Styela clava: one gene and its partner. The protein of the gene in region 1 purifies or fractionates together with the protein of each later gene. This does not show direct contact. Links are inferred from orthologs where the notes say so. Each region holds a gene or a part of one and is shown in the gene's direction. Other genes may lie near its edges.

What was found.
Region 2: the proteins of E3 ubiquitin-protein ligase COP1-like (region 1) and major vault protein-like purify together in Homo sapiens (affinity purification with mass spectrometry; 3 studies listed by BioGRID and IntAct, with this or other methods). This does not show direct contact. The link is inferred for Styela clava from reciprocal best matches to the Homo sapiens genes COP1 and MVP.

The regions. Positions count from the first base shown.
Region 1 is NC_135256.1:12,987,867-12,991,797, reverse strand, and holds the start of E3 ubiquitin-protein ligase COP1-like, read left to right. Parts: upstream 1-1,081; 5' UTR 1,082-3,301; coding exon 3,302-3,931. UniProt on the Homo sapiens protein: E3 ubiquitin-protein ligase that mediates ubiquitination and subsequent proteasomal degradation of target proteins.
Region 2 is NC_135260.1:15,801,575-15,805,505, reverse strand, and holds the start of major vault protein-like, read left to right. Parts: upstream 1-1,431; 5' UTR 1,432-1,474; coding exon 1,475-3,931. UniProt on the Homo sapiens protein: Required for normal vault structure. Vaults are multi-subunit structures that may act as scaffolds for proteins involved in signal transduction. Vaults may also play a role in nucleo-cytoplasmic transport.

The DNA.
Region 1 (3,931 bases):
TTCGAAGTTGATCTTTAAATTTGTCATATTGACTGCTGCGCCTATTCTGATAATGTCTACTCATATATATTGTATTCTTTCATTGTACTGATGGAAATGTGACAAATTAAACAATGTGCTTTAGAATTTTGAGAAAGGCAGAAATATTGCATCTCCCATTTTCTTTGAAAATGCCACCTTCTTCATGTACTTTGCGTTTCATTTAATTCATGAAGTGTTTTTTCTAATATTCTTCTCCTAGCTTGAGGTGTATCCATAATAGGGTCAAATTGAAAACAAAAATTTTTTTTTATATTTAAAACTATTTTCAGTAAGTTGTCGCTTTCTGAGTGGATAATCAATTTCACTTTAAATGGTTTGGAAATTGTATTACATTTAGATAGAGAACAAAACTTACAAAATATTACAAGTATTGTTGAGTGTTCGAGGGCCGCATTGGAAGTTCTCTGGGGCTGCATGCGACAAGCGAGTTTGACACCTCTGTGCTAGAGAACGATTTATTTGTGAATATGTGTGATCTCGTACAAAAATGACAACATATGACCTCGAAACGAAATTGTATTCTGTGCATAATATATTTAAAACAGAAGTATTTTAAGGGTCATCAGACGCATTTCAAATCGATCGTACGTAATTCAATCTGTCCCGACCAGAGCCCGCCTGATGCTGCCGCAATCAAACTAAAATTTGTTGTTTTAGCTAAAAATAAGATCAAGAAGTTCGTTGAGTTTGCGAACAAATTTAGTTTTGGCACGAGACTAATTGTTTCCCACTTTTGCTTTTGTAACACTGTAATTACGTAATTCTACTTACATGGCCTCTAGTCTGTCGAAACGAACAAAGTGTCTGGACGACTGCAAAAATTTCAATGTTATGTCACCGTTTACTTTTTTCTGATTGGTCATTATTACAAAAAATAAATAAATAAAGAAATCGATGCTCGTGGAAAATCCATTATTATTATGGCACTCTGACACGTGGTTGCACTATAGAGCAAAGTACCAGGGAGTTGGAGAGCGGTTTCACATCACAAAACTAACAAAATCTAGGTAGCCTAACTACAAACAGACAAATGGCGTTGCAAGTATTCTTGCATTATGCTTATTTTACAGTTAAAACACGCAACAGCACGGCCGCGGTGGTTGCATCGGATGTAAGTTCGTGCTTTAATAAGGACAGAATAGAATATGGGGAACATTTTTGTTTTTGTATGTAACTATTGTAGGCTATACGGTAGCGATTTAATATTCTGATGATGACTTGAAAATTTTAGAATCCTAACCAGCGGTAGTAGATTATGTATTTGAATGAATTGGATACTACTGATGCTGAATTTATGGAATACGGTTCCGGTAGGCTATATAATGGTGATAGGAATTATATTGGATGGTGACAATTAATGTAATGTGATGAATATTGTTTTAACACATTAAAAATAAAAAAAAATATGTAGTACCGTACCGTTTAAAATGATTAAAGAATGTGTAATTGCTATTTGAAACATGCATTTATTGCTCCGCGGTGTGGCGCATTGTGTCAAGCTTTAAGAATAGGCTCCACCATCAAGTCCATGCATATGAAAACAAATAACTGGCTAACTAGTAGTAAATATGTAAATCCTAACTTTAAATATGCAGGTTCTATTTCTATACAGTTACGGTACCGTACTAGGCCTAGATACCAAGATTTCATTGAGAAAAAATTCTCGATGCCTAGATATTTAAGTTGAGCCTATGCTATAACAATAAAAATTGAGGTGACCTCTAGACCAGTGGTTCCAAAACTTTTTAGAGTTGGGACCCACTATTTATTACCCCAGCTTATGGCGGCCCATTTAACTTTAATAAAACATTGATGGAGGAAAGAAAAATAGGACCTGGCCTGAAAATAAGACCCAATTTGAATTTTAAAAAGGATTTTAATAAAACTCTACCCTTAAAATAAATTTAAAATGTGTAGGAGAGAAAAGGTTCAATGACCTGAGGTAAGGTGAAGATTTCAACGCTGTGTAATGTCACAATCACAATTATGATATTTGTCACTTGATTTTTGTATAGGAAATACAAATAAAACCAATGGATGTTGGTTTTTATATAATGTTTATTAAAAAATCTCGTGATTTTCTACAGTGTAATTTTATTTTGATAAATGAACACAAAAGACCTCTTCCAAAAAAAAACAGCGTTATTCTTCAAATGAAAATAAATCTAAATCCTGTCTAAATTTAAGGGAAACACAGTAAGAAGTGCTGTACAGTGTATAAAACTGCTATGCGCAAAAAAGCCACATGGTCATTCTTTGTGTAGCAAATTTTTGTTCCTTTGAGAAGATCATAAAAAGAAAACTTTCACAGATTAGAATTTAAATTCAATTTAATTTCTTTTGTTTTTTTTGAAGATTCACGTATTCGAGTCGCCACCGATCCTAATAACCAGTATAATTAAGCAAAGCTTTCTACATCTTTTCACGACCCACCAAGATTCCTTTTGCGACCCACCGGTGGGTCACGACCCATAGTTTGGGAACCGCTGCTTTAGACTATCTACGGTAATTGAAAAAATTTATGTTTCGAAAAATTTAGCCTCGATATCTTTTAGTATTACCTTTCAAAATACGGCCAGGTTATCTCCAGATGACACGTTTTCAAAGCAAAGGAATCCCCGCCAATCTGCCAATAGACTTCCTGACTGTTATCAACTCAGCAACCAAATATTTTATATTTTGTCATATAACAGAAAAAATTGCTACAGTCTGACAGTATCTTATGATCTACCAAATCTTCACCTTGAAATTGAAGAGCGGGCTTATAGCAATATTTAGTGTTTTCAACATTTTAATGCTGTAGCCATGTCCTCGCCTAGAATAACTGAATAATAAATAATTTCAATTCATCAAGTAGGCCCAGTCTAGTCTCTTGTGTCTCTGATAATAATTGGACGCAAAGTAATAAATAGGCCATGATATTGTAAGTTAGTGACATTCTAATAAAACTAACATTATCTTATTATTGTATGACATTAGACTCCTTTGTTCAAATCTCATAAACTTTCTCAGAAGATTTTCTAACCCACTTTCTCACCTTTTCAGTAATGCCCAATCAGGCAATCAGTTTCGTTTTTTATGGCTTTTCCAGAATACCTTTTAATTAGTGAATATTATGGAGTTTTCAAGATAAACTATCTATCTGAATTAGGTTTTGTGTAGTTTATCACACAATTTATTACTGTATTTCAAAAGTTATACCAGCTATCTTCAGTTATTATCAGTGTGATTACCTACATATTTAAATCAGTAAGTGGCAATGAAAAGAACTTCAGGGGGTGATCATGCGTCATCTTCCAGCGCATCGAGTTCAAGGCCACTGCCCTCGGTATTGGGGACATTCCGTGACATGAATGAAAATTTTGTTTGCCCTATATGCTTCAATTTAATCGATGAGGCTTATATGACACAATGTGGACATACATTCTGCTACTCCTGTCTGAAGAGCAGCCTTGAACAGGGTAACAAATGTACCAAATGCAATACATTAATCAAAAAAAAGGATGACATCTATCCCAATTTTATGTTGAACGATTTGATAAAAAAGCAAAAGAAAAAAATTGAAGATATAGCTGAGACATCTAAAAAATTGAAGATGGATTCCAGACTCTGGGAATGGCAGACTTTTCTTGCTACTGAAGAGGATGGTCTTCAACTGTCAGATGTTGAACATATGCTTAAAGCTTTGCAAGAAAAAAAGCGAAAAATGCTTCTTGATAGTGCAGTCGTACATAATAAAATCTTATTAGAATTTTTACAAGATTTGGGAAAACGTAAAAAGGCTGATCTCGACCGCTTGAAATCTGAATTGTCAGTTGTGGAACAAGATATAGATCAAGTTCAGGATGCTCTCGAGGAAAGCAGACAAGCTTCTGCTAGCTTACTGCAA
Region 2 (3,931 bases), on another chromosome or scaffold:
CAAAAGAAGTGGTACCGTACCGTAACGGTACGTGTTCACTCACCGGAAAAGTCTTAAATTAATTCACACTCACAAACAGAGAGATATAAGGAAGTAATACACAAAAACCTTGAATAAATTACATGGTACAGTGGTACCGGTACTGCTGTACTGTAGTAAATTAATAAAAAACTAAATGATAAAAGTTCTTTGTCACACCATATTAATAATTTTATAATCATTGCCAAATTAAATCAGTAAATATAGATTTTGTGAACGGTAAAGAAAAATATTTATCAAAAAAGATATCAAAGCTGATTCTGTGGTTACCGGTATAGTTCAGTAGTTACATGAAGTCAAATCGAAGTTAGGTGCAGGAAGATGTGGACTAGTCACTAGACCACTTAATAGAACTTGATTCCAGAATGGTGAAACAAATCATCAGAATTGTGATACAGTGCTTCCTAAAAAAGAATACTTGAGGCAAACTGTGGCCGGTGTTCATGTTGTAAGCGAATACTTGAAAAAATGAAATCAACTTCAATCAATCAAAATGATATGATTATAATTCTGTTCAATTCATGTTGTTCAGTTGTTAAACTGCAAGCAATACAGCAATAACAGTAGTTTTCATTTAATTAAAAATTAAATGAAAAGAGTTTAGTTACCTGGAAACAATATTTGCAAAACTTCTGTTAATTCAGATGTGAGAATGAAGAGAAATGGTTTATGAGAAAACATTGGTTTGTCTGTTGATTGGCTTTTTTAGGAAATAGTTTTGTTTTTGCGTAAACACATGTTTGTGCATAAAAAAAGAACAAAAATAAATATAGATGCTCCTTGACAAGTAACAGGATGATTTTTTCTCAATGAAATTACTGTATTAATTGTGCTTTGCTTTTGGAAAGAATAAACCTTTATTAGTCAATGTTGATGCAATTCACATTATCTCACACAGATGTATATCATTTAATTTTTAAATCTGTATACTACTTGTACTTTATCAGCATGCAACTATCTGACTTTGGCAAATCAGGTTCACACCACCTTAGCTGAGATGAGGCAATTTTTGTTCTGGAATTTCTTCAGAACACAGTGAAGCAGAACACAAATAATTGCATTAATTTTCATGTCATGATTCTAAAAAAACTTCCAAAGACCCCGATTTTATTGTATCACCCTTATCCAATTTAGTAATACAGTAATATAAGTTTTCATGCTATCAAAGTGAATTCATGTACTGAGAATCTGGTATTTTGTTTGCTTTTAGCGCCGTACAGCCGTAGTGATTTTCTGATGTTATATTATTGTTTTCTGTTTCCAACATATTTTCATATATGTAATAAATAGCAAAGGAAAACGTTAAAATTAGTCATAGATGTCTCGCTAAGTAAATTAAAAGATTGGTACCAATTTACCAAACAAAAATTGAAAATACTGTATCTTTAATCCTTATATATATTTACAGTCTGTATAGGTATTTGTAAAACTCAAAATGAGTAAGAAAGCACCTTCATTTGCTAACATGTCCGGCCAGGATGAAGCACTTTACAGAATTCCGCCTTATTTCTACATCCATGTTTTGGACCAGAACACCAATGTAACAAAGTTGGAGCTTGGGCCTAAAACCTACATTCGGCAAGATAATGAAAGAGTCATATATGGACCGGAGCGTATGATTACGATTCCACCTCGTCATTATTGCACCATAGAAAATCCTGTTGTAAGAAATAAAGAAGGTGAAGTTCAGTATGACCAGTCTGGTCAGGCAAAGCTCAGCTATGCTGATAGAGAGATTCGTTTGGCTCAGGATCCCTTCCCACTTTATCCTGGTGAAATTTTAAAATCTGCTGTTTGTGCACTGCGTATTGTCCCTGCAAATTCTGCGTTGCGTATGAGAGCGGAACTTGATTTTACTGACGGTGATGTTAAGAGAGTGGCTGGTGACGAATGGTTATTTGAAGGACCAGGTACCTACATTCCACGCAAAGAGGTTCTGGTAGAGGAGACTATCAGAGCCACAGTGATTCGCAAAAATCAAGCAATAAAATTGCGTGCGAGAAAAGAAACAGTTGATCGGGATGGCACTGAGCGTGTGACTGGGGAGGAGTGGATAATTAAAAAAGTTGGAGCATATTTACCCGGAACCTATGAAGAAGTTGTCGAACTTGTGGAGGCATATGTTCTTACTGAAAAGAAAGCTTTGCATATGAAAGCGAGTCGTACCTTCACAGACTTTTTGAATGTGAAACGAAAGAATGGAGAAGAATGGTTAATTCGTATGTCGGACACGGAATCTCATATTCCAGATGTTCATGAAGAAGTCTTAGGTGTTGTTGATATAACTACTTTGAACAGTAGACAATATTGTGTGATAGTTGACCCAGTTTCAGAAGATGATGGAAAGAACCAACTTGGCAAGCGCAAACTTGTGAAAGGAGAAGCATCTTTTTTCCTTCAACCTGGTGAAAAATTAGAGAAAGGCATTCAGGATGTTTATGTGCTTGGAGAAGATCAGGGCCTTATATTACAAGCAAAAGAAGCTCATTTTGATGATAGCAATGAAATACAGCGCAAGCCAGGAGACAAGTGGATGATCCGAGGACCCACCGAATATGTTCCATCCGTTGAGGTCAATGTATTTGCTAAAAGAAGTGCAATTTCTCTCGATGAAAATGAAGGTATATACATACGTGACCTAAAAACTGGTAAAGTTCGAGCTGTTTGTGGCCGCACTTACATGTTGACCCATGATGAAGAACTTTGGGAGAAAGAGCTTCCTCCCAATGTTGAGGCACTAGTGACATCAGCTATCGATCCTTCGGCTGACAGAGGGATGTGGGAGAAAGGAAACAAAGGCCCCTCTCAATTACGTCGTGATAAAACAAGAGTAGTTTCTTATAGAGTTCCTCATAATGCTTGTGTACAAATTTATGATTACAAGGAAAAGAAAGCACGAGTGATATTCGGACCTGAGCTTGTGATGCTCAATCCTGATGAGCAATTCACGCAATTGTCGCTCTCGGGTGGAAAACCAAAACGTCCGAATGTCATTAGGTCGCTTGCGTTGCTTCTTGGACCAGATTTTTGTACTGATGTCATTACCATTGAAACTGCTGACCATGCACGTCTCTCATTGCAACTTGCATATAATTGGTATTTTGATACAGACAATGCCCGAAAAGACCAGAAAGATGCTGCAAAATTATTCAGTGTACCTGATTTTGTGGGAGATTGTTGCAAGGCAATTGCATCTCGTGTAAGAGGGGCTGTTGCTTCTGTCACTTTCGATGATTTTCATAAGAATTCATCTCGTATCATTAGGTCTTCTGTATTTGGCGTAGATGAAAAAGGAAAAGTTCGTGACAAGTTCGTTTTCCCACAAAATGGGCTGACTATAACTTCTATCGATATCCAGTCCGTTGAACCTGTGGACCAAAGAACCCGAGATGCTCTGGTGAAATCTGTTCAACTTGCTATTGAAATCACAACAAACTCCCAGGAAGCGACTGCACGTCATGAAGCAGAAAGGGCAGAGCAGGAAGCAAGAGGCAGACTTGAACGTCAAAAGATTACTGATGAAGCAGAGGCTGAACGGTCCAGAAGAGATCTTCTGGAACTTCAATCATTGAGTGCTGCAATTGAAAGCACAGGGCAAGCTAAGGCAGAAGCACAATCAAGAGCAGAAGCTGCTCGAATTGAAGGTCAAGCTGCTGTAGACCAAGCAAAACTCAAAGCAGAGGCAGCACGAATCGATTCAACATCTGAGTTAGAGCGCTTGACCGCAGCCCGTGATGCAGAACTGAAATATTCTCGTGAGCAGGACGAATTGGAAGTAAAGAAACAGAAGCAGTTAGGTGATATCGAGACAGAAAAATTCAAAAATATGGTTGAAACCATCGGACCGGATACTATTTGCAAAATTGCTTCTGCCGGACCAGATATGCAAGTG